3 linked regions of the Pelodiscus sinensis genome follow. The protein of the gene in region 3 interacts with the protein of the main gene of each other region in a biochemical or structural test. Links are inferred from orthologs where the notes say so. Each region holds a gene or a part of one and is shown on either strand. Other genes may lie near its edges.

Region 1 (9,840 bases), on a different chromosome or scaffold from region 3:
CCCTGCCAGTGCCCCTCACTCCCGACCTGCAGCCCCTGCCCCCCAGCCCTGCCCCCCAGCTCTGCCAGGGCCCCTCACTCCCGACCTGCAGCCCCTGCCAGCCCAGCCCTGCCTCCCCAGCCCTGCCAGTGCCCCCCACTCCCAACCTGCAGCCCCTCACTCCCAACCCTCTTCCCCTGCCAGCCCAGCTCTGCCCCCCAGCTCTGCCAGTGCCCCCCACTCCCAACCCTCTTCCCCTGCCAGCCCAGCTCTGCCCCCCAGCTCTGCCGGCACCCCTCACGCCCGACCTGCCAAACCTGGCCCCTGGCAGGGCCCCTGGGGAGCAGAGCAGGCAGGTTTGGGCACCTCAGAGTAGCTCAGACTCCTGGATTCTACTCCCTGCTGCTCGGGGGTGAGACGGGCACCAGGGAAGTGGTGCTGGTGCTGGGCAGAGCAGCTAATACCCAGTTCCCTTGGATTGGTGCCTCCTCCCATAGGACTATGGGACCGTAGTGCTACCAGCCTAGTGCAGGGCCCCCACAGGGATGGGGCCTCACTGTGGCCTGTGGAACTCCTTGCTGCTGGACAGCAGGAATGGCAGAGGCCTTGCTGTGCTCAGCTCCGAACGCCTGCCTACCTCAGCACACCCCGATGCAGGGGGAGGGTTTTACTGTGAGCAGCAGCCAGATGTACCCTGTCTGCCCCTTTAAGATCGGCTGGCACCCCCCTCTTCCCCGACTCTCGGCCTGAAAGCCAACGTGGTATTTCTCAGCTGTCAGATCCGATTAGCTCCCTCGGGCGCCCGATGGGCCGTGCAGCCAGAGAACGAGAAATGAGAACGGGGGTGGGGGAGGACGTGCTCAGGGGCAATGGGCCTGGGAGACTCACTGTGGGGTCGGGGGGGGCACCCCCTCTCCCTGAGAAGAGAGGCAGCTCGGCAGGGGCTGGCCCAGCTTTGGGAGGGAGGACAGGCGGGGGGGCAGGTAACCTCATTTCTCTGTGCTGTGGGGACACAGCCAATGGGGGAACCACAGCAAAGCCTCCACCCCCATGACAGCAAGGTTATTTCCCTCCTTACATGTGGGGAAACTGAGGCACAGAACAGCGATTCGCCCAGCACCATGCAGCGAGTCCAGGGCAGAGCTGGGAATAGAACCCAGGCATCCTGACTCCCAGCTCCCACCCCCCGCTTTAACAGGCCCCACCCCCCAGCCCCCACAAATCTAATCGAGTCCTCCTGCCCCCACCCTGACTGCTGCAGATCGTACCAGAGGGTTGAGGGGGAAGAAAGAGAAGCAGGGGTTGCAGGTCGGGACCGAGGGGCACCAGGACTGGGTATGCTGGGACAGAGCCAGGGGGCACTTTCAGGAGACCCCCCTTGCAGGCTGTTGGCAGGTTTGTGCTTCCAGACCAGGCCCCTATGCTGCCATGGGGAGGGGTGGCAGCCAGGCAGATCGACCCTGCCAGACAGATGGCACTCCCTCTAGCAGCCTCGCCAAGGATCTCAAAGCCGTTCTCCCAATTGCCCATTAAACAGCTGGGGAAACTGAGGCACAGAAAGGGGCAAAAAGAGAACCCCCAGCTCACACAAGGAGCCACTGGCTGAAGAGTCCTGGCTCCCAGCCCCCTCTAACCACTAGACCCCCACTGCCCTCCTCCCCTGAAACTGGCTGGCATCCTCATTCCCAGCTCTGATCAAATTAAAGTCTTGGCAGAAGATGCTCCTGCCCCACCCCGAAAACTGATCAAACCCCCCCTTCGTACTTAGCCCAGCCAGGAGGGGGCTGTTGAGCTGTGGCCAGCACCCCCACCCCAGTCCTGTCAGCCCATGGAGGGTGCTAGCCCCCAGATGGCTGGGTAGGGTCCCCCGCATTGCGTGCTACCCCCAGGCTCCCCAGCCAGCCAGCCCTGCCGCAGGAGGGAGAGATGGGGTCGGAGCCTTGGGTGGGCGAGAAGCATTGGCCGGTGCCAGCCCTGAGCCCCCCTTGGCGCACCGGGCGGCTGTGGCACGCCTCCCCGTCCCCCTGCACGCTCTAATTGATGGAAATGCAGGACTCACCCATCTGCATGACCTACATTCGCTCGGCAGCCTGCGGAGCCGCGAGATAATTACACGGGAGCGGGGGGGGGGGGGGGGAGATCCCACAACTGACAGCCAGGGAGCTGGGAGGCTGCACGTCAAGCACAGCAACCTCCCCCCACCAAATGGGGGGGACCTCCAGGTGCTCCCCAGCCGCACCCAGTGCTGCACCCCGACCCGAGGCCTGGTCCCTGGGGCGTGAGACGTCTGTCCTCAGGTGGGCATCACAGGGCAGAGATGGCAGCAGGCACCCAGCCCCCCACCTGCCTCAGCTGGCTGCCCAGCCCAGGCCTCTCTGAGACCCAGCCCCAGGTGCGCGCACAGCAGCTGGCAACTCCTGGCAGGGCACCCAGGGCACAGATCCCTTCAGAGCAGGTGCTAGCGGATCCCCAGTCCTGTCGGCAGGCCGGGGGGCTGCGGCGGGTAGACATGGGCCAGAGAAACACACCGGTGGCTGCTGGACAGGATGCAACTGGAGTCAGGACTCCTGGGCTGTTTCCAGTCCCTTCAGGGACTGGCTGCGTAATCTGAGGCAAGTCCACGCTGCCCCCTGCCTCAGTTTCCCCATGCGGAACACTGAAGCAATGCCCCCTCTCTTTGTAAAACCTGGCAGGGGACAAACTCATCCGCCCCTTGCCAAGGGCTTGGGCCACAAGCAGACCCCCAGCCCTGGGAGCAGCAGCCATGCAACTAGCGAACAGTCAGTCAGTCTCGTTCCCTGGCCAGACGTCCTCTGACACAGACCAGAGCCTGCGGCCCGACTCCCCCCCGCTGGGCGTCTGTGCCGGGGACCCCGAAAACTGGCCCTGGCCACGTCTCACCAGCCCCCTTCTACTTGCTCCATGGTCAGAGCCCAGCCGCCGCCATCGGAATCTGCCAGCTTCCCGGCCCAGCGCTGGATTCCACAACACCCGACAGCGAGCAAGGCACGGAGCTGCTCCCTGCTGCACACCAGGCCTGCGCGGGCACCACCCCGGCAGGATCGGGGCCGGCCTGGCTCCCCGGCCGGGGGCAGCGCACTGAGGCCTTGGCACACAGATCGGGGCAGTTTTCTTCCAGGCGGGTTTGATCCCTTTTCTTGCCCAGAAAAACCTATTTGGGCTCTTTGAACGAATGGGAAAATTCCCCCCCCCCCCCCCCGTAGAACTACCCACTTCCCAGGTCAAGCCTTCCAGATTTTGCAGCAAACATCCTCCATTAAACTGGGGAAACTGAGGCACAGAGAGAAACCCCCCTCCCCCAGCTCACACAAGGAGTCACTGGCCGAAATGCAGCCACCTCTGGGAGTGGGGGCAGGCGGGTCTTTACACGCATTGGCGAGACTGATGCAAGTGGCCCCAGCGCTGGGCTCAGCTCGGAGCAGGAAGCTCAGCTGCCCAAACAGGGCATGGGGGGGCGGGGGGGGGGCAGATCCAGCTGTGACTAACATCCCTCGGCTCCAGGGCTCTGTCCCTGCCTTTCATGTCTCCCCCGCAGGGCTGGGCACAGGCCTGGAGAGACCCAGGACTTGGGGAAAGTTCCCAGCAGCTCGTGCTCCGGCTCGGCAGCCAGGCCCCGCTCTGCCCGGGCCCTCGGCGGGTCCGCTCCCCCCCGAAGCCCTTCCCCATGGGGAGCCAAGGCCGCCTCCCAGCCCGGCCGCCGGCTCGCCCCAGCCTCGCCCACTTCCCCTTCCCCGCGGCTGCACTTTGCAACTCGCTGCACGCCAGGGAGTCTGCACCGCGCCGGGGGGGCGGGGGGGGCAGGGACAAGGCCCCCCCAGGGACAAACCCAGCCTGGGGGGGGCACTGTCCGAACCCCCCCGTGCACGGCTCAGGGGCGCCGCAGCAGCTGCCCCAGCGCGGCCAGGCTGGGGGTGCCCCGGGGGGCGCAGCAGGGCGCCCCGCCCGCGCGGATCTGGTGGCGCATTTGCACGGGAGGGGGCAGGGGCCGCTCTTACCTGGCGGAGCGCGGGGCCGGGCCGGGGGCCGGGGGAAGCCCTGCAAAGCGGCAGCCAGGATTCCCCTGCTGCCGGGGGAGGGTGAGCACCGTCTGCAGCTGCAACAGGAGCCCGGCCGCGCCCGGTCCTAGCGCCCGCCCGGCTCCGCGCCGCCCTAGCACAGCGGGGGCCTTGCGGCCAAGCGCGCTCGGTGCACGCGGACCGGGGGGGGGGGGGGCTCCCGTGCAGTCCTGGGCCCCACCCGGCTCGGGGCCTTTCGGGTGCTAAAGAAGCCAAACCAACCCCCCCCTTCTTCCCCTGTTTCCAGCCCGTTCCCGCCCCCTCTCCGCCCGTGGGGTGGCTCCTGGGGGCCCAGCATGTTCCCAAGCTGGCTGCCCCAAGTGTGGGGGGGCAGGGGGGAGGTGGGTTTTACTGGCACTTCAGCGGGTTTCATGCCACAACTACTCGCAGGGAAGTTTCCCTAAAACGCTTCTGCTCCGAGCCAGCCCCCGGCCGCCCCACCCTGGACCCTGCGCGGCAGGGTGCTTGGGAGGGACGGAGCAAAGGCCTCCCCTTGGGCTGCCGGCCCGGTGCTTTCCCTCACTTCACTGGCCCGGCAATTGTCCTGGAGCACCGCGGATGCTGCTGCCAGGAATCAAACCCGCCGGAAATGACAGGACAGCCCAAAGGGTGGTGAGAATCCCCTGGAGCTGCAGGCCACCCATCCCGGCTTGGGGCCGTGGCCCTGCTCAGACAAAGGCATCACTGGGAGGGGGGGCGGTTCTCGCTCCTTCCGCTGCCCAAAGCGCGCTGCCAACCACGCCACCGGTCCCGCAAACGGCTGCAGGCCAGCTCCCGGTGCCCAGGCTGCTAAGCTGCACAGCTCCACCCTAAGCACAAGGATCTTGGGCCAGCTGCTGTACTGCAGCCACCTCTGGGGCGGAACAGAGTCAGCGTGCGGCCGCCAGGCGCGCAGGAAGGGTGCGTGGGACTCAGAGTGTCATGACCCAAATGGGACTGGGCCCCAGGCCTCAGCAGTAACACCCTGACTCCTGGGACTCTCCAGACGCAACCGGACAGGTTGAACCGGTTCAGGGGCATTGTTAGCAGGATTCCAACCCTGGCCAAAGGGCAGCAGGTAGCACAGGCTGTGCCCGCACCCTGCGAGGGGCCTGGGTTCTAGTCCCACTGGAGAGGGGTGCTCTGTGGCCAGGCCGGAAGGGGGCACCCCTCGACACTCCCTGGCACCCAGCCTGGTGTCACGCTGGAGTGCCTGTCCCCCAGCGGCATTGCCAAGCAGGGCCGGTGCCTAACAAGCAGGGATGGGGGGTGGAAGAGGCCTAGAGGAGATGGTGGGGCCCCCTCATTAGAAATCGCTGATGAGGGTTTTGTGGGAAATGGCTGAGAGATCAAAGCAGCCTCGCCTGATTCAGACCCAATTAGCGCCTGTAAAACACAAAGGGAGGTCTAGTGCCAGGGCGCAGCCCGCTGCTGTGTGAAGCTAGGCCCAGGGCCCTGCGTAGGCACCGCAGATCTGGCCTTTGCCTACAGCCAGCCATTGTCTGGGAGAAAAGGGGCCAGCAGCTCTGTGCTCCAGGCCAAGGCGGGACCAAGTCCAACCACAGGGCCAGACTCGCTGCTTTTCTAGAGCATCCCTCCTGTGGCAGGGCCAACCCGCACTGCCCTGCCCAGCCAGAGCCTCCCCTCTCCACGAGCCAGCGGCAGTACAGGGGCTATGCCACTGTGAGGTAGTGGGGGTAACTTGCTGGGGCTGGGGCGACCTCTGCTGTCTGTAGCAAGACCCAGCAGGGAAGGGGGGAGTCATTATGCAAAGGTGGCTCCAAACTGGTCTGACCAGCCACCCCCCATGGGGAGAAACAAAGGAAGGTGGATGCTGCCCTGGCTGGGGGCAGGGCTGGAGGAGAGGTGGTTAGTTCCTGTCTGGAAAGCAGGGGAGAAGGAGCTGGGGAGGGGGCTGGGACTCCCCCATCTCAAGGGGGGCACTGAGGCCTCTTAGCCCCAGTTCCTGTAACCAGATGACATCTGTGCTGTGCTGTATCCTGGAGAAGCAATAAACTACCTCCATTCTACTGGCTGGGGGAGTCTGTTCGTGCCATTTGGGGGTGCAGGAGACGGGGGACCCCAGCACACCGTCACAGCCACATAGCAGGACAGCTCAGATTCTGGCTGGCAGAGGGATGTGAGCCCCCTGAGGACAATTGATTCAAATGGCTGGGACCACTTTGCACCCAGACAGGCAGCAGCGGGGCCTGCTGAGAGGCATGACTGAGGCTGGGCCCTAGATCCAGTCTGGATTCCTGCCTCTGCACTTTGCCAGCCCAAGGCAGGGGGCAAGCAGCAGGTGAGCAGCCCCGTATTCCTCCCCAGACAGTCTCTGCCTCCCAGTTCCTTTCCCCTGAGTAGCTTCAAACCCAGCACAGGGCCTTGCAGCCTGGCCCCTGGACTGTGGGGCCAGCCCCTATGAGTGCCAGGCCTCTGCCCTTCCCTGGCCTTCCCTGGGGAGAGCGAGCAAGCAAAGAGGCAGCTGTGTTGGTGGTAGTGGAGGCGTGGCGTCTTGCTCCCAGGGGCAGCTGACAGGTGCAGGCCTGCTCTGGAAGAGCCTAGCTCTAGCCTTGAAGCATAACAGCAGCAAAGTCCTTGCTCAAGGGGATTGCAGCCTGCCTGTTGAAGGCCAGATCATACTGGGCTTTAATCGCCATGCAAAGGGTTTGATCCTGGCCCCATTCCCTCCATGAGGCCAACACAGATCTGATGGCACCTGGGCACCACCCCCTGTGCAGCCTGACGGGAACTATCGGAGGTGGTAAGGCGCTGTTGCCTCTTCTGAGAGCAGTCATGCCCCAGAGTCCCGCAAGCGCCCTTCCCGCTAGGGGAAAGCGCGCTGGAGCCTTCTCTAGCCCTGGGTAGCAACCAGCCGTGACAGCAGAGGATGCGGAGCGAGTCTCTGATCCTACTGGGAGGCTGCAGCAGGGGTGGTTAAAAATAAATCTGCTTTCAGCTTGCCAGCGCAGCAAAGCAGCCCTGGGCGCTGTGGAGGGCAAGGAAATAGCAGCCCACAAGGCTGTATCCGTGATAGAGGCTCTGGCTGACCCCTTCTCCCTGCCAGCATCTTGGAAAATGTGCTAATAGTTCAGCCCGGCTGGCACTGGACCCAGCCCAGGCGGTAGCTGGAGGAACAACTCTCTCAAGGGTTCAGCAGCCAGCAAAATGGAATTTAAATCAAGGCTCCCATCTGTTCTTGAGCCTGCCTCGTATTAGGTCACAGCTCATCTTCCCCAGCAGCCCATTAACTCTTTGACCACTGGCTTTGTGCACAGGGGTGACAGCTAGGTAGGCGCCAGCCCCACAAGAGAAAGTAGCTGTCTGTATGCCCCTCCCCCCCAGCAATCTGAGCGGGGAGTACAGCAGAGCCAGGTGAACAGGGCTCCTGCATTTACTCAACTTCTGGGCCCCTGCCCTCTCTGCCTTCACCTGGGACAGCGAAGGCTAATGCCTAGGCTAAGTCAGCCGTGCCACGCATGCGCTGTAGCACGTGGCTAGATGAGTTCCCATAGCCAGGAAGCTGGGTTGCTTGTGCAGCTGCACAGATAGCAGGCTTTAGAGACGTTATTTAGAGATTATTCCACATGCCGCATTGGCCACGCAAGGGGCAGGAACTCACCCCTCTCGGTGGTGGGTGTGGAGAATCCGAGTTCACCCCCTGGCTTGTGACAACCTGCCGTTATAAATCAATGATGGAGATTCCATAACCTCCCTAGGCAATTTATTCCAGGGCTTAACCTCTCTGCCAGGTAGGAAAAACTTCCTAATGTCCGAACTCAACCCCCCTTGCACGATTTTAAGCCCACCCCTTGTAGTACCTTTTAGATATTTGAACGTTGTTACATGAGCTGCAGAGAATGTAGTCATGTCTCTGCAGCAGGGGAAGATAGGCGGAAGGACCTGTCAAGCTGGTCAGAGAGCACCACACGTCAGAGAGAGAGAGAGGACTTTAATATCTATTTACATCATAGGTTCCCAACCTGTAAATACAGCTGAGTCTGCCTCGCAGTGGAGGTATGTCCTTGCACTTGCCTTTCGGAACAGACCTCCTGCCGTCCAAGGGCAGCTCTAACCTAGGAGCCATGGGAGGAGAGAGAAGTTAAGGACATAACAGATGCCAAGCATTCACTGCATTGGCCCACATCTTAGTCTTTGCTACATTCTCACAGAAGGGTCATTAAAACTGATCACACTTGGTGCAGACCCCCAAGTCGTTTTCAACCCGGAAAGGCAACTTTTTCATTTAAAAATAGATTGAAGAAGGGGTGGCCCTGGATCCCCACACTGGCTGGCCTCACACACGCAAGGCGGCTTCCTCCAACTTCCGCAAACTTGGTCCCTGCAAGAGCCGCAGGGTTCACGGTGCTACAGGAGCGCCCCCTGCTGGAGGAAGCTTGCTTCAAGGGCAGCTGCATCCTCATCTCTCAAGAGGGTTACTCCTCCCGGATAAAAAGCAGGGTAGAATCAAAGAGTAGAATCCAATTGAAACCCAAAGCAGAGGGAGGTGAGGAACCGCAGGCCAGGCGGCATCATAGGGCAGATGTCCTGTTCAGTTCTAGCGTGCAGGAACGGGGAGAGGAAGCCCAGCCTTTCGGAGGAGGCCTAACTCCTCCAGAATGCCACCGACAAATAGGAATAAATAGATCCACTGCTTGCAAGGTAAGAGACACAGATCTTAGGGCTTCATGCGAACCCCTGATCGAGCCCCAGAGACAATAAGCCTCACTAAGAGCGACATCTGCTCCGCGGAAATAACCAGACTTCAAAGGCGCTCAGGCTGGGAGTGCAGCGCCTGCCATCTCATTTCCTCCTGCAGCCGCTCATGCTGCTAATGGTTTCGTTTCTCCAGCCTCTTGCTGCCTGAGCACCATCTCTTTGATCTCCAGCTGTTTAAAAACGGCAACATGACAGCGTACGTGCAGGTTGCGAGGAAAGGAGGGCAGGCCGGCCAGCCAGCCTCCAGGAGGAGCAGGATAGGGCCCGCAGCCGTTCGCAAACCACTCGCAATCCACCACAAGGAGGGTGAAGTGGGCTATGGCCCAGGCACAGGGCGTTAGCCACCGCAGCCGGCGGCACGTTTAAAAACAAATATACAGCTAAAAACAAAGACGAGGCCGCTTTCGAAGATGCCGAGACGTGAGGGCAGATCAAATTCATCCTTTTCAACGCTCCGCTGCCTGGCTCAGCGTGACCTTCAGCGAAGGTGGTTACCGCGGACAACGGAGCCCAGGCCGTTGTTTCGCTGAGCTACAGAGACAGCCACATCCTTTTGAAGAGAGGCATCCAGGTAGAGGAGGCTAGAGCCGCCCCCCGGCCAGGATGTTTCCAACCAAGACGCCGTCCTTAAGGGCATGTTCCACATCCCTCTCCTCTATCTTCAGTGAAACCTGGAGGAGACACGAGGCCCCTTATGACACAGCCCAGCCCAACGTGAGGAGTAGCCCATGAGCACAGCCCAGGCCACCGAAACCCTCACAGGATATTACAGGGTCCACTGACGCAGGAGCAAAGACCTAGGAACGACCCATGTGGCTGGCCAATAATACCTGTTCACCTGCACGCCCCTCACGTACTGGGGCACCTGGCTTGCTACCGGAGCAAAGCACTGGTGCTTTCAGAGGCAGGCTGCAGATGGAGCGTGGCCAGCGTCAGATTCTCCAGGAATTAAAAAGGTCCCAACCACAGAGCCACTGGCACGGGGAGCCCTTCTAGTTCTGGAGCCCACTGGAAAAGTCAGGGCAGCCCTCCCCTGCTGTCCACAGCTCCTTCGGGTTCTCCTTGAGCCTGCTGGCTCCCCAGCTAA
Region 2 (10,083 bases), on a different chromosome or scaffold from region 3:
TTGTTTTAGAAACATGCATTTGGTGTCAGACCACCGGAGAGCACACACTGAGATAACCTCAGTGTACGTGATGGTTCCAGTCATCTAGTGTACAGAGAAAAGATTTCTGAGGCTATGTTACTTGGCAGTTCAACATGATCTGGCTGTTCGCTAATCGGGGAACACGAGAAGAACAAAGGAGAGAGAACACAAATGTAGTAATAGTGCTGCATAGATATAAGTTAAGAACACTACTGTTGGGTGAGGATTGGATAATATACAGTGAATGGCAGAAACTGAGCATGATAGGAGGGTGAAATTTGTTTCACTTTGTTCCGTATGACTTGAGTTTATTGGGAAGGGGGATAACATTTTTGTATTCCGTCAGAGAGTGTGTTCTGTAAATCTCTTCAGTTGCCCGTTCCCTGGGTGTCGCAATAGATTAAGTCGCTGTGTGATTATATGACACCGCCATCACTTGTCTTCCTGGGATATTGCTGGAGGCAACAACAAACCTGTGTCTTTGGCACATGTGAAGGAATTTAGCGCTTGAGGGGTTAAATTACACAGGCTCCCCTGTGGATCAGCTTATGCTTGGACAGTAATAATAGCAATAACATTAATAATAAAAATGCCAGAGCAAAGGGAGTGGAGGGGGAGTAGAGGGGAAAAAAAGAAAGAAGAGTGATGGAAGATAGGCTGGGATAGTCAGCAAAGAAAAAAACAAAACCGAAAAAACCACAGAAAAACAACCCATCCAATCTGCAGATAATGTGTTTTTGTATGGCAGGTGTATCAGCCAGAAGTCAGATTTCATAGGGACACCTGCAACATGCACATGCACAAACACATATTACAATAGCTTTGAGGATGGTTAGTAGCTTGTGTGTGTGTGTGCGCGCACACAGTCACTTCAAGCCATGATATCCTAGGGCAGTTGTAACAAGCAATTCATGTCAGCTCACGGTAAAGATTATTGGTGTTTTTACTGTGGAAATATTTGCACTCCATCTTCTTTTCTATTTTTAGCTCCCGGAGCTTCCAATCAGGTGGTAGACCAGAAAAAAACCCACCCCCCACTGCCAACCCATCAGATCTTGCACCTCAATTAGTCTGAACTGAAACCCTAATCTCACTTAGGAATGGCCTTTGATGCTAAGTTTTTCTTCGTTGCCTCCTTGTTTTGTGGGATACTATATTTCATGAAGGTTGCAGAGGAGAAGGAAAGACAGAATTTCTTTTCTTGTTGTTTTGTTCTGAGGGAAAACATATTTTTGTGGAAAAAAGTGTTTTCTCAGATATAAAACGTTCGACAAATAAAAGGGAATTCAAAAGCAGAATAATGTGGGCCCTTCTTTTTTTAATTCTTGCATGAAAATGCCACTATCACAATAAAGAACAGCAATTCATTGCTTTAGAAAAAAGCAATATGAATTTGTCCTCTCTCAGATTTATTGTTTATCATAATCATCTTTCTAGTGAAAAGGGCTAATTTACTCTTTCTATAGGAATATTTTAAGTGTGATTATCATAATACCACATCTGCTGAAAAGGTCTAAAATAGGACATTGACCTTGAATGTGTTTCTGCATTTAACATGTGGTGCTTAACATTCAGGAAACAATATAACTGCAACTCATTTATTAATGTATAATCTCAAAATGTTAACTCTTGCTCTGTAAATACGTGACATAAGGATTGCTGAAAGCTTGCAGTGTCCCATGAAGTACATGCGGTATTTTATCAGTGTAAATATGTATAAGATTTTCAAGATTTCTGCTGGGAATACTCTGTAACTAAAGTAAGTTTTCCCTTTGGTACTGCACTAGTTTATGATTTAATTTTTACTGACATTCCACCAGTCATATTATTAGCTTCACAAAATGAAAGTGAAATAATCCTGTATTAATTAAACAGAGCAACTGAATTCCCTCAGTCATTTTATCCTTGGCTGTCTGAGACAGTAACACATTACTGCTTCTCTGAAGAAACTTACACTAGGGTAAGAGCCCGGTGTAATCGAAAAATATCAATATTGGAGTGGACACTTCATTTCTCTCTAATGAGAATAGCCTTTTTTTGAGTGTTGGGCAATGGGTAGGCACTTTTTTTAAGGCTCTGTAAAGGGTGTTTTTTATTCAGCAGAACAATTTTCACTTACAACAGTAGGAAAAGGTTCTATTCTGTAGCAGTGAAGGCAGTTATTTAAAAATTAACGTCTGTGTTCTTGAAAATAAAGGAAATAGAAAATATGGAGTGTATTGCTAAGATCAGGTGACTTGAATATACTTTGATAATATGGCAAAGTGTTTGCTGTGATTTCTTAGAGAAGATATGTCATCTGCTAAAACCGAATTTTTAAACTAACAAACAGCCCTCAGCTTTGTGTGTAGAACAATTCCTGTTTTGTGATGAAGTTCTAAAGAACATGTTGAGGTAGTGTTGGGTTTTTTTTTTGTGTAGGATCAAAGCAGGGAGTGATTAATACTAAATACAGATCGAAGAAGCAGATGGTTCTAAAGTAGTTACCTGCTACCATTTGCCTAACCATTTAAAAACAGGTGAACAAAATTTGCAACTCATTTTAGTGAAAAGATTTTTCTCTACATTAACAGTGTGCCCATAGATTCACTGCATCCCTTCTAATAAGAAGCACTAAAGGCAAACTCCAAAACCAAACCAGTTATGTGTCTAGGAGGAAGGAGACAGCAGCAGAGCAATTTTAATGAAATTAGCATGAATAGCATGAAACAAATTTAAATTGTGTTTTTTATTTGACACTAGCTCACCTAGTTACCTGGCAGAGTGGCAAATAAACATTAATTTGGTCCTCTCATAGTTCCTCTCAAACAACGAGTGATACTCCAACATTTAATTAAAACTTTATTGAAAATCTCATAGCCCATATGTAGGTTTTGCTGAGGTGGGAAACAGCCTTCTTAAATATAATAGGTTCAGAAAAAGTATTTATTTAAAAATAAATAATCTCTGAGCAGACGCTGGAATTAATAATGTTTTTGACCCCTTCCCAAATGTATTTTGGTCTCTTTTAAGCAAATATGTTCTTGTCATAATATACTATGCTGCTTCTGTAAAGTGCCACTGAATCTTCACTTCTTCGGTTGCCTTGAGGTAGATGTGATTTAGGAATCTGGCTCCTTGGATGCCTTGAAATGTCGATTGCATTTAAGTGTGAAGATGCTTAAAGATGTACTGTTCTTACATTTGGTAATTATATGCATGGAGATGTGTGGAGATGCAGACACTGCACAGTAATTCTCATTGACTGCTGCGGACACTTGTGACTGTTTCCTTCCCCCCAATCCCCACACACACATACCCTTTTTTTTGGTTCCATTTCTACTATGTTTTGTATACTCTTCATGGTAAGATTTTTTGTGTGTGTGTACATGTGCATTTTTAATCCATATCCTTTACGGAAGTTCTATAAACCAAAATCTACCTTGATTTTATGTTCTCCCCAGGGCTTTTTATTTATTTAAAATGTGGCACAAGAAGGTTTATTGAGAACTTTTACTACAGTTATCTGCTGTAGAAGCTTTAAAAAAAAAAAGCGCTGAACAGTAACTGGGAAACCCATGTTCAAAACTGTAGATGAATTTCAGTAGTGGAACTAGTTGGAATTCCAGACCCTGGTCTGGTAGAGGTGACACTTTCAGTCCCAGCGGAGGAATCCAACTGCTTTGTTTATCAACACATAAAGTATAGCACTGTGTTTCTGGTCATCTAAGGAGCAGCACAGCAGTGAAGGCAGCTGCTTGCCTGGATGAAAGATGGTTGGTGGAAAGATAGTGATGGTTAATAGGGGGAGAGAAAGATTGGATAGGGAGGGAAAGCTAAGGGGTAGTGAAAACTATGTGGACACGAAAAGGATGGAAGACAGACCACAAGAGAAGGCAATAGACTGTCAGATTTTCAGCAGCTGAGTATAAATATACAGTCTAAAAGATAATGAACAAAAGTAAACATGAGGTAAATTTTGGTTTGATAAGGTTTTAAATGGCTTAATAATCCTATTTCAAATTATATATGTTCTAGGAAATAATGATTTAAAAATGACCTGTATCAAATGACTCATGTGTGGGTGTGTGTATCTCCAACACGGATCATTTTTTAATAAAAAACACACAGGTACAGAGTCTGAAGGAATTTCAAGCCCTAATGTCCGTATAGTTAGAAAATAGCTATTTTAAGAGTATGTATATCTATTTAAAGTTATACATTTAAACTAAAGATGTTTATTAGTTTATATGTTGCTGGAGATGTGCATGAATAAACCAGTTAGTGGGATTTTTACTTTGGATTTATATGGAAATCAAGAAATCAAGTATAGAATAAATATTTAATTTTCAAGTGTTGATCTGATTCCCACAACCACAGCATTTCTTTTTCTCTGTATTTTTTTAAGGAAGGGTTTTTAATTCCGTAAAATGATTAAATGTATCTTGTTTTAAGGTTTGATTAAAAACTAATCTTTTTTTTTGTCTGTATGGTGTGTCTAAAGGATGCTTGGGCTTTACATCTCAGAGCTCTTCTAATGCACTTCTCACAACCAAATTTACATCTTAATTACAGAGTTCACATTTAACAATATAGACAGCATAATGCTACTGGTAATTAAGCTTTTACTACCTGCTTTTATTCAGTAGTTAGAGCTATAGTTTTGCTGTGTTGGTTCTGATCCTTAAACTTGCATGTATTAATGCTTAATATGTAAGGAACAGGCCTATCCTTTGCATCTGGTTGAATACATTACACTGGAAATCACTGTCTAACATAAAGAGCTTTAAACATGTCCATTTCATTTTTTTTCAATTAATTTCTGGGGTTTCTTTTCCCCAAAAGCTGTGTAATAGATTTGAAGAAGACATTTGTATTCCCATTTGTGAATGGTATTAATGCATTCTGAGGGTTGCACTGATTTGTTTTGATCTTGAAAGATTGTCATTTGCATCATGTAGGGCTCCAGTCACAAAAGATTTGTGCTCACTAGAGCTGAATTATAAAAAATTGTGGGTCCTCCACTCTTAAGAAGGTAGCAGTTATCTCCTTGTCATAAATAGCTGATATTTATTTCCACCGCAACTTGGTAGAAAAAATTCTTTCTCTGCTACCAGAAAATGTATATTTTAGTTGTAATGTTAATAATAAGCTGTAGATTTTGAGGGAAATGTATCATACCCCCTTTTAAAATTGGTGTTTTCAGTGTAAACTGTGTCTGATTTTGCGTATGATCACTTTCTTAAAATTGGTTTATTCAATGAATTTTATTTAATAAGGTATATCAGTGTGAATTATAAAAGCCAGTGGTTTGGAGCAATTGGGTTCAAAGATGATTATGTAGGCATATATACAAGTAATGGATTTGATATATTTACTTCCAGTTTGTTAAAATTTTCTTTAAACAGTAAATTAAAAAACTGCAGGGGTATTCATTCAGACATACCACAATGTAGTCTGATCTTATTAAAATGAAACAGACTGAGTTGAGTCCATTATAATCCCTCCACAGTTACAGAAGAAATTAGTCAGTGCTGGAGCTTTCCCTTCTGTTTATGAACATGCAGATATGTGCATTTATGGCTAATGTGTTAAGTATGCCATATTAACATGGATCTGATATATGTATGTGTACACATATGTGCTCATAACAATGCGTGCATCTGTGCTGTTGAAACAAATGCATTTTTAAAATATTAGTTTTTCTGTTAAGTTGGTATCGATTTTCAGTTCTAAATATTCTTTTTTTAAATAAAACTGACAACACAAACTTACAGTTAAAATGACAATGCAGATCTTTAGAACAGTTAATTTTGAGCTTAGTTTCTTAGTACATACCAGAAAATTTAGAAGATAAAAAAATCATTTTTGCATGAAAAAAGCAAAAACACTTAAACCCTCTTCCCCTCCCCCAAGCAAAATCCTCCCAAATAACAACAATGGAATAAACAGACAATAGCAGCACAAACTTAGTTCTCTACCTTATGATGAATTCTTCACAACATTAACTGAGAGTCTGCATGTATTTCTTCCATTCAAGGTACTTGACTAATAGTGTTTTAAGTTACAGAAAACATCTAGTGCCTAGAGAGTTATGCTAATTAGGTTTTCTTTGTAGCCCCTTAGAAAAATATTGGTAACATTTACATTTCTTTTTATTAAGTCCCTACTCTGTTTTCAGTCTCTTTCAGTTTCTCCACCCCTCTGTACCTGCCTGGCTTTTCTCAATCTGTGCAGTCTCTGTTCTCCTCACATCTGATTGGCTAATGTGCTACCAATCCAGTATCTGTCTGGGCCAGTGGGACTGCATATGTAAAGCCCTACTTCATATTAATAAGCTCCAATCGGGGCTTTAAGTCCTTGATTAGGAGACTGTGAGAGCTTTTGGTCCCAACTGGCTGTGCCTATAGGCTTGTCACCAGGAGAACATTTGTGTTAATTGCACTGTGCTCTGTCAAGGAAACTTTGATTTATTGCTGGGGTGCACAAATAATGGTTGCCGAGCGCACATGGATTCGGTAGAACTTTGTCTTCCTGAATCTTTTTCCCTTCACTACGAAGAAGAGTAGGTATCTTTCTTCCTTTCTTTTTTTAACCTTTTTTTTTAATGAAAATAATGTAAACATTGATTCAGGTAGTGCTGTGTGGCTTGTGTGTGCATGAACGGTTATTTGTGTCTGTCTTGTCTTTTTTGTGCTGAGGATGATCTGCTAATTCAGTAAGTGGAGAATTGTTCTCTGACTACAATGTTACCTTTGAGTCAAAGCCCTGTGACTGTCAGTAAAACAGCTGTGTGACAGTCACTTCTTATTCAGGTACTAATAATAGGCACTTGGCACAAATGCTTAGTGAATTGTTAAAACATGCCTTGCAGTAGGACACATTTTCCCAGGGAAAGGATTTAAAATAATGTATTATACAAATGATTTACACTAGTGCCTTTCTTGTGTATATGCGGTTTGATAGATATTCTGGTCTCCCTGTCATTTTTGACTGTGCAGAGTTAGCCGGGAAAATAACTGCTAATACCTCTTTAAGGATGAATATTCACAATTAGCCTTCTGCAATTCAGGTCTAAAATGCTGTTCAACCAGCACTTCTTCACTGACATATCAGTCTACTGAATAACAAGGGAATTCTGTGCTTTTTAATAAAGGAGAAGAAAATATTAAGGAAGAAAAGAACCAAACTGACTTTAATATTTTGTACTTTAATAGAGAACTGATATAATGAAGTACATTTGTTCCCATTAGCCTGTAGCTTGTTTCATTGTGTTGGTTTGTCCCTGCAAAAGACAATAAACTACTTTTTTAATATATGATTTTATATAGTTGTTTCAGCTGTACCTATTAACTACCTAGTTTTGTATATATGCAGGTATAAATACTTGGACTCTCTGAGATCAAAAGCAGAAAACCCAAACAAAATCCAGCATGCTAGTGGTGATGAGTGGCTCATAAACTTGATTTCAACCTATAGTCAGGATTAAATATTAGTATATCATGGGAGCTGTCATTGATTCATTTTTCTTTATGTCGAGCCAGTTATTTTGCTGGGCTTTCCTATTACACTAGCAATGAATGTTGTAATACTGAAGAAAAATGCTAATAGTAAGTACATCCCTAGATGCACTGGGTAGGGAGGCTGTATAGAGAGGTGACAGTGTATTATAGGTAGATGCCCACTAGCTGTCCTTAGTGTCTGCATATTGCATAGCTATTTGTAATTAAGCCAGAGATGGAAAGTGACTTACAGTGACTGTATGTTTGTGATATAACATAGGAGTTAAAGAGAACAGCAGGAAATAGACTTGCCATTAGGAAAACAGTTTGAAGTAAGAGAGGGAAGAACCCCCTTTAAAACTGAAGGGGTAAAGAGATGAAAATAAACAAAGATAGGTTGCCCACTAAGATATGGTTTATAGGTCAGTGCTCCATGAACTGCAGTAAATTGTCTTCACATATGAATAAATGCAATGTTCACAGCTTTCACTTAATATTTTAATTTTTCCCTAGAAAATAAGGGTTTAAAAAAAATTAAAGGTAGGAAGAGGTTCTCTTTGAAAGGAGCTTTCCTGAATTTACCTTCTTACAGCTAATTTGAATGATTAGTTTAGATAAGCCTCTTAAAGTAGATGCATTTAAATGAAATCAGGGCACATGTCTTTTTGGCTCTGGTGCAAGATTTAAACTAATTCTCCTCCCCCCCCCCCCCTTTGGCTCAACTAAAAGTCTTCTTAAAACAATCCAATTTACTTTCCGGATGTAGGCTGTGTTGGGTGCGTGGTTGAGTGGACAGACAGAAATATCTAATATTCAGAAACACATCTGTGACTCTGTCTCAATTAATAAACACCAAAACTATCAATATTCATAGTAATTGCATTTTGTCTGTAAGCTGTCATGTCCATATGCATAAGGACCTACAGAGAATGCTATATAAGTGAATGAAGCATTTCCAGAAGTGGATAATTTCTACAGTTAATTATTGCGTAGAGGAGGATCCCAGCTAAAAATTGACAGAACATTTTGGGACATCTGCCTGACCGTCGCTAGGTATGCTTTGATTTTTTAAGGCAGAGCATGTTAAAGAATGCAATCACTTACAGCCATTTACAGCCTTGGTTTTTGCTTTACAAAAGTAACAATAATTCTAATATTTAATAATAATAGTTAATAACCTAACAGATGCAATAAATATATCTGCTCATTTTGACATATGTGTCAGTTTAATCATTCTAAATGAATCGTGCTCATAACATGAAATCTCCTTCAACCTCTGATTAAAATGTAACATTGACTACAGGATTATAGAGCTGACTTAATTTTACTGACTGTTTTAACAGTTGTCACAGCTGTTGGAAGAAGGAAAGGCAATTGAAATACTCCAAAGAAGGGGAGGAGGGGGAGGAACTAGTTTAGTAAATTTAAACATGATCTCTGAATGCCAAACATAGAAAACTGAATAGATTTGTGACTGCAGATAGCTTCTGTGCAGTGTGTACATTTGCCCTTTGTGCTTCATTCTATTTGTTTCATGAATTTGAACCCCTCGACCCCTTCCCTACTTTCCCCATTCAAAAAATATGCAAAAGAATTTAATGAAAAAGAAACAAATGTTCCTGTTACAATGTTGCATGCATTTGTATTTGATCTATAGTATGAGAAATAAAATGCACAGATTATGACAGGAAAACTCAAATAAGATAAGTGAAATTTAGATAAAGAAATGGACCTATAATGGAGTTACATACAGTAGAAAAAATACTTTGATGCGATGACAGTGTACATATATTTCATATTATTTTTTAAACAATATCATGCCCTAATCTTGGTATTGTTTGTATGTTTACTTATATATAATGAGAGAGGGAATTTGTCTTAGTTTCATTCTTCCCCTATCAAAATATTTTGATATAGCTCTTAGTTACAAATAATTTGATCTGGAAAAAAAAGCAATCTATGAAGGTGGAGAAAAGGTGGGCTTATAGAACATTGCTTTACCAGTTAGTGGGAAGTGACAACTGACTTCACTCTACAGTTGCTTTCTTTGACGTGGAGGTTTGAACCTCACATATTACAGGTGTGTGTTATCTTGACCCTTTTAAAAAATAAAGCAAGCAGTTAGCATTCTGGTCCCAAACCAATAAGGTCTAAGTTCCCCTGCCAAGCACAAAATGTAGAACCAACCTTTCTGCTATGAAATAAGCCTCAAAGTGTGTTTGAATGAATAGATTCCTTGTATGGTCTCTCCTTGGACAGCAAGAGGGCCTTCCTCCCTGTGTCTGTTTTTTTTTCTTTTTTAAGTTTTGTTTTTGTTTTTCATAGACTTTTTTTTGGCAAGTTTTCAAATCCTGCAGAAAGTGTAAAGGGCTTGCTTTGAAATGGCTCTTTGACAGCTTTCCATTTACTGAGGCTGGCCCCTCTTTTAGTGATGGTTGCTCATTTTAATGTGTTTATGGTTGTGCTCTTTTATTTACTGAGCCTGGTGCGTTGCAGTGGTAATTAACCCATGTTATTAGCAAAGCCCTTGTGGATATCCATTAATTCTCTTGAATGGCTGATAATTTTTTCTACTCTTTTT
Region 3 (10,233 bases):
CTCAGTAAGGAGAAATGTTTGATGTTATGTACTGAAATCCCTAGCCAAGTCTACCTGAAGACCTGTTAAAGCTTGGAATCAAACCCCTGTACCTATTTCTCAGATAAATAACAATTAGTGCATTGTGCAAAGCTATGCCTTCTGAGTTCTCTACCTTCAAGAGATTCTCATGAGATTATACAAGACTGAAATTCTTTTTGGTGTCCCCTTCCCTTGAAAGCATTATGACTACTATAGCTACAGTGTGGGTTTCTAGAATTAAAACTTTAAAATGCCTATGTGAGGATATTTTTTTAAATGTTCATCTCTCATAATCTTAGGTCTTTTGCTTATATGATAACCCAGTATTTTTCTTGCATGTACTAAGTCATTCCTCAGCTCTGAGCAACACTGTAGTAGCTGTAGGAGACCTTATGTTATCAAGTCTCTTTTATAAAAAAAAATTAGATCACAACACACTTAAATATGAAGAATTATAAGTTGACTATATTATAATAATACTAAAATAAGAAGTAAAGCACCTGTAATTCAGTATCCTAGACTTCGGTTTTCTTGGTTTATCTGTAAAATTCTGTAATTCACAATGGCCAACAATGCAAACTAGGGACTTAGTATCTACCACACTGGTTTAGTAAAGCCAGGCTTTTGCACAGCTGCAAGTAAAGTCTGGAGATCTGAGTTGTTACAATCCCTTATCACCTGTTCCTAAACTTAGTATCTCAGTATCACATTTTTTATTTAAAAAATTGTTCAATCTGCTGGATGAGAGAACTCTTAAGTATCCTCACTTTCAGGCCATCAACCAAGCAATGCTCTCAATATCCAAGGAAAAGATAAATGTGGTGTTGGACTGCTTTGGTCTATTTTAAGATTAATTTTCACTAGGACTCAACAGAAGCAGAGACAAGTAGCTGCTCTAATTATGGCACAGCTAAAGAATAGCATTTTGCAAATGGTCCAGAAGCATGGGAAGCAAAAGGGAATTGCTTCAATCAAACATTTGATGGAGAAGCAGACTAGATTGCCATGCTGAAACATATCTATTTCTAGTTGAAAATTCCTGGGAGGTGGGAGAGGAAAAGCAACTAGTACGCACTGAGACTAAATCGCTGCCCGCACCTCAGCTGGAGCTAGGTAAGAGTTTAAACAATTAACCGATAAGCTCATGCTTATTGGTTCATGTTACCATTTAAACTCTGCTAGGGAGCAGGAGTGGGCAGCAGGCAGCCTGGAGCTTGTGGTGCCAGCAGCCTGGGGAGCCCGTTTAATTGTAACTATAACCGATGGACTTTCTATCGATTACACAGTTAATTTTTTTTAAACATAGTTTACATCCTAGCTGGAAGCTGTGCTATGTCAGTGCTGCTGTTACGGACTAACCCAGTAACTCTTCTGATACATAGTATCTCTTAGGAGTCCTAGGACACCTTAAAGACTAACAAATTTGATTTGGGCACAAGCTTTCATGGGCAAAGACCCACTTCGTCAGTTGCATGTTGTTACTACTGTTTCCCTGACTGATGTAGGCAGGTACTTGATCCAGAAAGCCACAGTAACCCAACCATCCTATTTATTTTCCTAGGTCATTTGAAACATAACGTAAGTCCTTGCAACACTTTGAGACGAGTGCCAGTAACAAAATCTATCTATAGTGGCCAAGAAACTGCTAGTGTTTAAACAATTTTGCTTGCATCATGGTTGCAATGCTAGAAGCTGAGATTGGATGACAGGAGATGGATCACTTGGTAAGTTGCCTTGTTCTAATCACTCCCTTTGAAGTACCTGGCACCAGTCACTGTTAGAAGATGGAGCTACGGTTCCTTTAGCCTAGTATCCTGACTCAGGGTGGTCATTCTTATGGGTACAGCATATCAAGGATAGGACTCAATGACATGAGTGACAAACATAAATCAGCCATATAGGACGGGCTTGCCAAGTGGCGGCGAGCCTCGCTCACCAGCTGTGCGCTGCACATGCAGACCATGTGCTGACCGTGCTGTGCGGCCGTGCTGTGGCGAGTAGATTATGTTAATTGTCAAGCCCTGCATATAGGTACTAATATATGTAATGCAGTTGTAGCTGGGATAGTCATTAGAGCATTACAGAGACAAAGCAGGTGTGCTGATAGCTTTTAGTGGACTCTTAGAATCATTCCTGGACTTGTAAAAGAGTATGGCTCCAAAGCTGCTTCTCTCTCACTAAAAGAAGTTTGTCCAAGAAGAGATTACCTCACCCAACTTGTCTCTCTAATACGGATACTCAGTATTTTTTATATTACATTTATATTACATTTTTATATTACAATTTCAACAAAAAGGGGATGTAATATAAAAAGTAACACCAGTGTGGATTTGTTCATCTTGACTGTCTATAAGGGTTCATGTAGGTTAACAGCACCATATCAATCAACTATATATTGAGAGTATGTGTCTGTCTCAGAACTCCTCCTAAACGGTAAGAGCTAGGACTACCAAATTTGGTATACGGCTTCCTCATATCATAACTTAAAGCACAGTAAAAGTTTGGTTGTGCCAGGAAAATGGGATGGGCCTGGAATGGGGTAGCATCTCATAAAAACATACAGAAAAGAGACAAATCACCAGAAAAGTGAAAGAGGCTGGCTGGGGGCATTTGCCCTGTCCAGGATTGCCACAACACTGAGCCTCCCACCCCTCAGGCATCCTTTAGAGAGGATGGGAGGAAGGGGTGAACCACGTCCCCCAACTCATACGGGACAAGGGAATGAGAATGGTTAATCAATTCATTAGTGGGGGCCGGAGCTGTTCCTTGCCCACTACAGGCAGGGGCTGCTCCGTCCCAAGGAGCCCAGCACGGGTGGGGAGTGCTCCTACCCAGCAGGAGCAGCCCAGCGACAGAGAGCCCACCCTGGACATGCCACAGGGGCACCCAGGCCTGGCCAGAGCAGCCCCTGTTGGCGGCAGAGGAGCTGGAGCGCCCCCACCCCCACTGCCGGTTAACCGTTTAAACACAACGTTAGCCAATTACATGGGGTTTTACATCCTCACGTGCGGGACGTTGCCAGCTGCTTCCCTTGGTCAGGGAGCGGGGGGGGGGGGGCAGTTTGCTGCAGCCCGCCCCAGAGCACGCGCCCAGGCGCTGGCGGTGTCTCAGAGCCCCCCCAGGCCCACGCAGGCCCGGCACAGAGCAAGGGGGGGGACGGCCGGGAGCGGGCGTTACCAGCCCCCCCCCACGCAGGCCCGCCACAGAGCGGGGGGGGGGCGGCCGGGAGCGGCCGCCACCAGCCCCCCCCCCACGCAGGCCCGGCACAGAGCGGGGGGGGGGCGGCCGGGAGCGGGCGTTAACAGCCCCCCCCCCACGCAGGCCCGCCACAGAGCGGGGGGGGCGGCCGGGCGTTACCTCCCGCACGCCGCCCTGGTGCTGCTGGGCCATGGCCAGGAGCATCCCGTCGAAACGCTCCTCCTGCTCCGCCGCCTCCGCACTCGGCCCCATCCTTGCCCGCCGCCACCGCTGCTCCCGCGGCCTCAGACCCTCACACCGGAACCGGAAACCCAGCCACCGCCCGCCAGCCAATCCTCGCGCCCCACGGCCCCCTCCCCGCTCGCTGATTGGCTGGAGCCGCGTCCTGTCATCGGAAAGGAGGCGGGAGTTCCACGCCGGGTTCCGCGCGTGGCGTTGGTTTCTATGGTGACCGGCCGCGTCCGGGGCCTTCCAGAAAAATCGGCGAGGCCGCGTGGCCCCGAGTGGGTAGGGAGTCAAAGGTCAGGTGTTATGGGGCATATCCACGTGGGGTGGGAGCCCTAGGACGGGTTGGGGGGGGGGAGGCCTATATTGGGGTCAAAGGGCGCGATGCCTCGGAGGGGTCAAAGGGCAGGAACCACGTGCCTCAGTGATCAAAAGGGGGGGACCCTCGTGGGAGCCCATATTCTTGGGGGGGGCCTCTGCCAAGGGAAGGCTGTGGGGGGAGGGGCACCAGGCGTCCTGCCAGGCCTCTTGGGCAGGGTGGCCAGGCGTGGCACCAGGGCTTCTCAGTCGCCCTCGGCGCCGCCCGCGTGCAACCCCGGGCATCCCAACCACACCGGGGAAGCTGGCTCTCTGCCGCTTATGGGCACCCAGATGGCTGGGGCAGAGCCTGCCTGCGGCGGGCAGGAGGGAACATCCTGTCCTCCAGAATCACTGTGGAAAACACCAGCGGCAGCACACGGGCCCCAGCGGAGGCACCCACCTCAAGGGTCAAATGCGCTCACCATAGTCATTTAAGGCAATGATTCTTAACCCTTTCCATGCTGCTGCTGTTAGTAACCCTCCCTGGTCAATATCATGCAGAGAGACCAGTAACCTATTTAGATGAACCTATTCACATTACTAAAATTACACTGTTAACTACTGGGAGAAGGGATCTGGAAGCTAGTATTTTCCTAAGACTTTCCATAGTTGGGTGATCTCCACTGGGAACTTCTAGTGACTGAAAGTTCCACTTGGCGCTACACTGGGTTCGTTGATGTTTTCTGCTTCTTTCTAAACATGTAGGCTACGTCTAGACTGGCATGATTTTCCGGAAATGTTTTTAACGGAAAAGTTTTCAGTTAAAAGCATTTTCAGAAAAGAGCATCTAGATTGGCATGGATGCTTTTCCGCAAAAGCACTTTTTGCAGAAAAGCGTCCGTGCCAATCTAGACGCATTTTTCCGCAAAAAAGCCCCGATCGCCATTTTCATGATCGGGGCTTTTTTGTGGAAAACAAATCTGAGCTGTCTATACTGGCCCTTTTGCGCAATACTTTTGCGCAAAAGGACTTTTGCCTGAACGGGAGTCGCATAGTATTTCCGCAAGAAGCACTGATTTCTTACAGTAGGAAGTCAGTGCTGTTGCAGAAATTCAAGCGGCCAGTGTAGACGGCTGGCAAGTTTTTCCAGAAAAGCGGCTGATTTTCCGGAAAAACTGGCCAGTCTAGACACAGCCCTCTTGCCACCTGCTTTCCTCCCACTCATTAACTTGCCTTCCAGACAGCCTGGCTCTTCCTTCCTGCCTGTTCTTTAGAATCAGGCTCCATGATCCTGGAGGGGTAGGGGTTTCAACTAAGTGACTTCTTCCTGCCCTAGAAGTTCCTCTGAGTCACGACACTCCTTGAAGCATGAAGACATAAACATCCATGTATGAACAGTATGATGCATCTAACCTGTCTATAAAACTGATGAAATCTCCTAGGAAACAAGGCAAAAAGTAAAAAGGCCCCATACGTCCGTGTTTCCCCCCTCCCTAAAACACACAAGATACTTGAGGCCCCAGCCTCCATCTGCTGCCCTTTGTAGTTCATTAGGTTTTTTTTTTCTTTATCTGCAACAACAGCAGCCTGTTGTCAACAAGGTTAAACAAACAACCTGCTGATAAAATGACTTCCAGGTTGCTCTTTCCAAGGCCAGAGTTTACAGGCTGTTTTGCTACTGGTCTCTTGCTCCAGACAAGGTCTGTGTGTGTGTGTGAACTCTTTGGCAATGACACCTGTCATATAGCATTGCATGATTACACACCTGGGGCCTTGGTGCCATGGTACGGGCTGGGTTAATGACTTTGTTTATACTGTTGGGTAATCCAGATAAGAAAGCCACTCAATCTGCCATCCCATCCCATCCTCCTGGCCCTAACTGGCACTTTCATTGAGAAAACCTTTATCTGCACCAGTGGAAGCTCCACTTCCCCAGCCAATCAGTACTGAGTTGAGTTGTTTTTCAATGAACGGTGCTTAGTTAAAGAGAGGTCAAGGCTGCTAAGGGGGTGTTTCACTTAGAGTCTTATAAATAGAGCCAGGAATAACAGCCAAAGGTATAAGAGAGGTGACCGACCTGGGAGCAGCAGGCTGCAGTCAGAGAGCTTTGACTGATACAGCAGCCTTTGCAAGGGACCAGGCGTGCTCACAGATCCACCCAGCCAGGTGCACAAGAGTCTCATCCTCCTTGGGACCTGACGGGATCCACTGGCCAGGCTCAGCAATGACTACATGCAGCATGGATCTGGACTATGAGAAATGCCAGTGCCACAGTGAGGAGAACCAAAATGCCATCCTCTACGCCCTCTTGAGCCAGAACCTGAACCACAACTGGGGCAGCCACAGCCCATCCCAGCAGCGCTGCCTGTGCCAGAAGCGTCGCACCGTCAGCCTCCGGACACCTCAGCTCACCTGCCAGGCAGCCTCAGATGTCCTTGTGAAAACAGTCAGCTTCATGAAGAACCTTCCCTCCTTCCAGCTGCTGCCTCGGGGGGACCAGCTGCTGCTTCTGGACAGCTGCTGGGCTCCACTCTTTATTCTGGGGCTGGTTCAGGAGATGGTGACCTTTGAGGTGATGGAAACCCCAGCCCCGAGCATGCTCAAGAGGATCCTTCTCGATGGCCAAAGGAAGAGACAGGAGCCTGAGAGGGCACAGCCCACCTTAGCTGGCGTGAAGAGGCTACAGTGCTGCCTGAACACATTCTGGGGCCTGGACCTGAGCCCTAAGGAGTATGCCTATCTGAAAGGAGCCATTCTCTTTAACCCTGGTGAGTGCCGAACCCTCACACCCCTTTCTGTTGGCAGGGACAGATGGCACGTCACACAAGAGTATCTAGCAATGAATAGCTGTCCATCCATCCAGGGAGCTCAAAGCTCTTACAAGCTAAGGATATTAAATATCGGGTAATTGACTAATTGAACAGTCAATGCATTTTTGCATCAACTGTTCAATTAGTCGATAGGGTGCCTCTGCCTTTGAAGCGTAGCAACAGTCGTTGCTTAAATTTGACACTTTACGACTGGGCCTCAACAAAGATGCTAATTATCTTACCCATTACGAAGATAGCTTCCCCAATTATCCCCTCTAATATCATTAGCTCACAGACATTAACCTCCCGCCCTCATCCCCCTTCTGTTCTGAAATGTGATTTGTCCTTTCTATATGTGTTCGCTTTTTTTGATTGTATCCCTTTGGTATATATGGTCATGCCAATTTTCTTCCACAATTTGATCTGAGAAAGTGGGTCTGGCCCATGAAAGCTCATCACCTAATAAACCATCTTGTTAGTCTTTAAAGTGCTGCATGGTCCTGTCTTTTGTTTCAGCTAGACCAGACTAACACGGCTACATCTCTATTACTAAGCTGGATGTAGTATCCCTATTTTAAAGACAGGCCAACTGAGGCACAGAGCATTTTCAGGGCTAATTTTCAGCTGTGCTGAGCATCTCCAGTTCCCATTGACTTTTGGAATTCAGGCTGTTAGTGACTTGCCCCAGTTGGTCACTTGCTTTAACTCACAAACCTTGGAGTCAACTGTGCTGATAGGGGTGGCTTATTAGTTTCGCAGTCTCTCAAACCCTAACCAGGGTTGATTCAGTTCTTCCTCTTTTTGAAGCAAATAAACTAAGTCCTATATAGTTTATTGTGATGGAAGGGACTATTTTAATCAGATTTTAAAATTGCGGTCTTGCATACCCTTCAGCAAAAAGAGGATCTCAGAGCATGTTTTTCTAGAGCTGCATTTTGCCCGAGCTGTATTGGTCAATATTTTTCCTCCCTTGATGTGTTACACACTAATAATGAACTGCTGCTCTCCACCTCAGACGTGGCTACGTTTCAGAGATGCTGCATATCTATAGCTAGTACTTTGGGATCCTCATATACTATGAAATGTAAGGAAACATGTTTATTTATCTGCCTGTGCCGGTGTGCAGGCAGTAGAAAGAAATCAAATTTGATTGTGAATCACTAGCAATAGCGGTGAACAAGCCTTCAGCAGAGGCACATGCAGGATAAGAGCCTGGGCCTGGGGCATAGCTTGGGAAGCAGAGGCTAATTTTCATTTGTATTTCCTGTTGTTTCTCTTTCCATAGATGTCCCAGGTCTCAGAGCCTCTCTGTACATCGAGAGCCTCCAACGGGAAGCACAGCGAGCGCTCCGAGAAGTCCTAGTGCCCCTGCACCCAGAAGACCAGGGCCGCTTTGCCCGCATCTTGCTGATTGCCTCCACCTTGAGATCCATTCCTCCTGCACTTATCACAGACCTCTTCTTTCGACCCATCATTGGCAATGCAGACATTATTGAGGTGATCACAGAAATGCTGTATGAAATAACCAGCCGGCGACTGACTCTTTCGTCACACACAGCCTCTTGAGAGATCACATTCAGGGCCACCCTCACATGCGCCTCCTGAGCACTGAGTTGAGTTTCAAGGGACAATAACATTAATATGATGTGGGGATTTGGTGGGAAAGATACTGTGGACTTTCAAACACACCTGGTTTTGTGTGTGTATTTCACTTGGGCTCAGGCAACAGCTTCAGCAGTTGAAAAGTGCAGCTAAGCCACATTCTAGAACATAGCTCTTATTTATTCAGCCCCTGTACAAACTGAACTCATAAAGCCAAATCATTTCTGAAGTGTGTGTGATTTTACTATTTCACTGCACAGTAAAGTAGAAAAAAAAGCATGGCCAATGTCCTTGAAACAGTCCTTGCAAAATAAACCTCTGGGCTGACATTTTCCCTAGGAAATATGCAGATCAGAGAAGCACTTCTTTGAGAAAGGAGGAGATTGAAGCCAGGGCTTTGTACAGAATGGAGTTTCCCAGTTTTACATGATAAAATTTCCAGAGAAAGACTCTGTTACATACACACACACACTCACAATCTGATTTTTAGATGGGCTCAGCACTCAGTCAGCCTTTTAGATGTTGCTCAGCACCTCTGAAAACAGGCCTGCAATAAATGATGGCTGTGTCTACACTGGCAAGTTATTCCGGAAAATCAGCCGCTTGAATTTCCGGAAAAGCACTGACGATCTAATGTAAAATCATCAGTGCTTTTCCGGAAAAACTATGCTGCTCCTGTTCGAGCAAAAGTCTTTTTCCGGAAAACAGTTCCGGAAAAGGGCCAGTGTAGACAGCACAGTAGTGTTTTCCGCAAAAAAGCCCCGATCGCGAAAATGACGATCGGGGCTTTTTTGTGGAAAAGCGCATCTAGATTGGCCACGGACGCTTTTCCGGAAAAAGTGCTTTTCCGGAAAAGCGTCCTGCCAATCTAGACACTTTTCCGCAAAAACTTTTAACGGAAAACTTTTCCGTTAAAAGCATTTTCGGAAATTCATGCCAGTGTAGACGTAGCCAAAGTGTTGGATTAGAGCTCCATATTTTGTGATTCAGGGTCAAATCCCAACCCCACTGAAGTCTATGGTAGTTCTGCCATTGATTTCACCCTCACAGACTATTCATACATCGGGGCCTAGTTCTGCAATCTTTAGTCACGCTGACCAGTACTTGACTTGAATGGAATTAAGGATGCCAGATAGTTTAAAAAAAATACCGAACATGGTAGGAAACATTTGGTTGAGCAAAAAAAACCCGGACACCTGGCAACCCTAAACAGAATCACTCATACAATGCTACCTAGTGCTGTGGAATCGGGCTTTTACATAGTACCTGCATGTCTGTGTTGCATGACCAGGTTATTAAGTGTCCTGGAGTCTTAAGGAAGTAGCCATTACACATCTATCCCTGTTTCAAACACTGACAGGCAAGGGCTGCACAATATTAAAGCTAAAAGAGTTCACAGAAACCCACGTTTTGCCTCCCTGACTCAAACTAAGTAGGCCTGGAGAAGAAAATGGGAGTATTCTGATTAGTGTTCTTTATGTTTGTACCACTGCTGTTAGGGTGGCAGAATCTACTACCCTTCGTTAAAGTGGCTAAATAAGGCTGCATTTTAGTGCTATTAAGAACAGGTAGGACTGATGAGCTTAAGTCCATTTGTGTAATGGTGAGTGATATTTCCGAGGTGGTACATGCCATAAAGGAGGAGCTATGTCAGTGGCTATACAGTCCATTCTTCAGCTGGGCATCTGCTTCCCAGACTACTTGATGGTTGCTCCTGCTCCCATTGTAGGTGCTGATCTATATAAAGAAAACAGCCTTTGCACAGAGTTCAGACATAAGTATTTGTGAGTGGATGTTAGTCTGTGATCTGTATATAAAATGCAGTAAATTATTTTTTTAAATAAAATGTTTTACATTTTGGAAAATGTTGGTTCTGTTTTGGAAGGTTTTTTTTGGTGTGTGTTACATTTTATTGAAACTTAGAAAAACCTGCCACAGGTCACATAATCCAAACATTCAAATGGGATGAGGCGCAGTCCCCAGAAAATCCCCATAGGAATGCATTCTATCTTAAACTGCAAAGCAAAATCAGTGTTGCACTTAAACATTGTTGGGGAAAGGTATCTGATTAATAGCG

Evidence for each region.
Region 1: the proteins of NR0B2 (region 3) and RARA form a complex in vitro, tested with the Homo sapiens proteins (2 studies listed by BioGRID). The link is inferred for Pelodiscus sinensis from reciprocal best matches to the Homo sapiens genes NR0B2 and RARA.
Region 2: the proteins of NR0B2 (region 3) and ESRRG form a complex in vitro, tested with the Homo sapiens proteins (2 studies listed by BioGRID). The link is inferred for Pelodiscus sinensis from reciprocal best matches to the Homo sapiens genes NR0B2 and ESRRG.

Annotation. Positions count from the first base shown.
Region 1 is NC_134739.1:10,842,794-10,852,633, forward strand, and holds the start of RARA (retinoic acid receptor alpha), read right to left. Parts: upstream 4,101-9,840; 5' UTR 3,996-4,100; intron 1-3,995. Other genes in the region: CDC6 (cell division control protein 6 homolog), read right to left, coding at 9,335-9,424. UniProt on the Homo sapiens protein: Receptor for retinoic acid. Retinoic acid receptors bind as heterodimers to their target response elements in response to their ligands, all-trans or 9-cis retinoic acid, and regulate gene expression in various biological processes.
Region 2 is NC_134713.1:150,705,252-150,715,334, reverse strand, and holds the start of ESRRG (estrogen-related receptor gamma), read left to right. Parts: upstream 1-6,351; 5' UTR 6,352-6,509; coding exon 6,510-6,565; intron 6,566-10,083. UniProt on the Homo sapiens protein: Orphan receptor that acts as a transcription activator in the absence of bound ligand. Binds specifically to an estrogen response element and activates reporter genes controlled by estrogen response elements.
Region 3 is NC_134735.1:2,377,070-2,387,302, reverse strand, and holds NR0B2 (nuclear receptor subfamily 0 group B member 2), read left to right. Parts: upstream 1-5,759; 5' UTR 5,760-5,968; coding exon 5,969-6,512; intron 6,513-7,839; coding exon 7,840-8,120; 3' UTR 8,121-10,021; downstream 10,022-10,233. Other genes in the region: nuclear migration protein nudC, read right to left, coding at 3,379-3,471. UniProt on the Homo sapiens protein: Transcriptional regulator that acts as a negative regulator of receptor-dependent signaling pathways. Specifically inhibits transactivation of the nuclear receptor with which it interacts.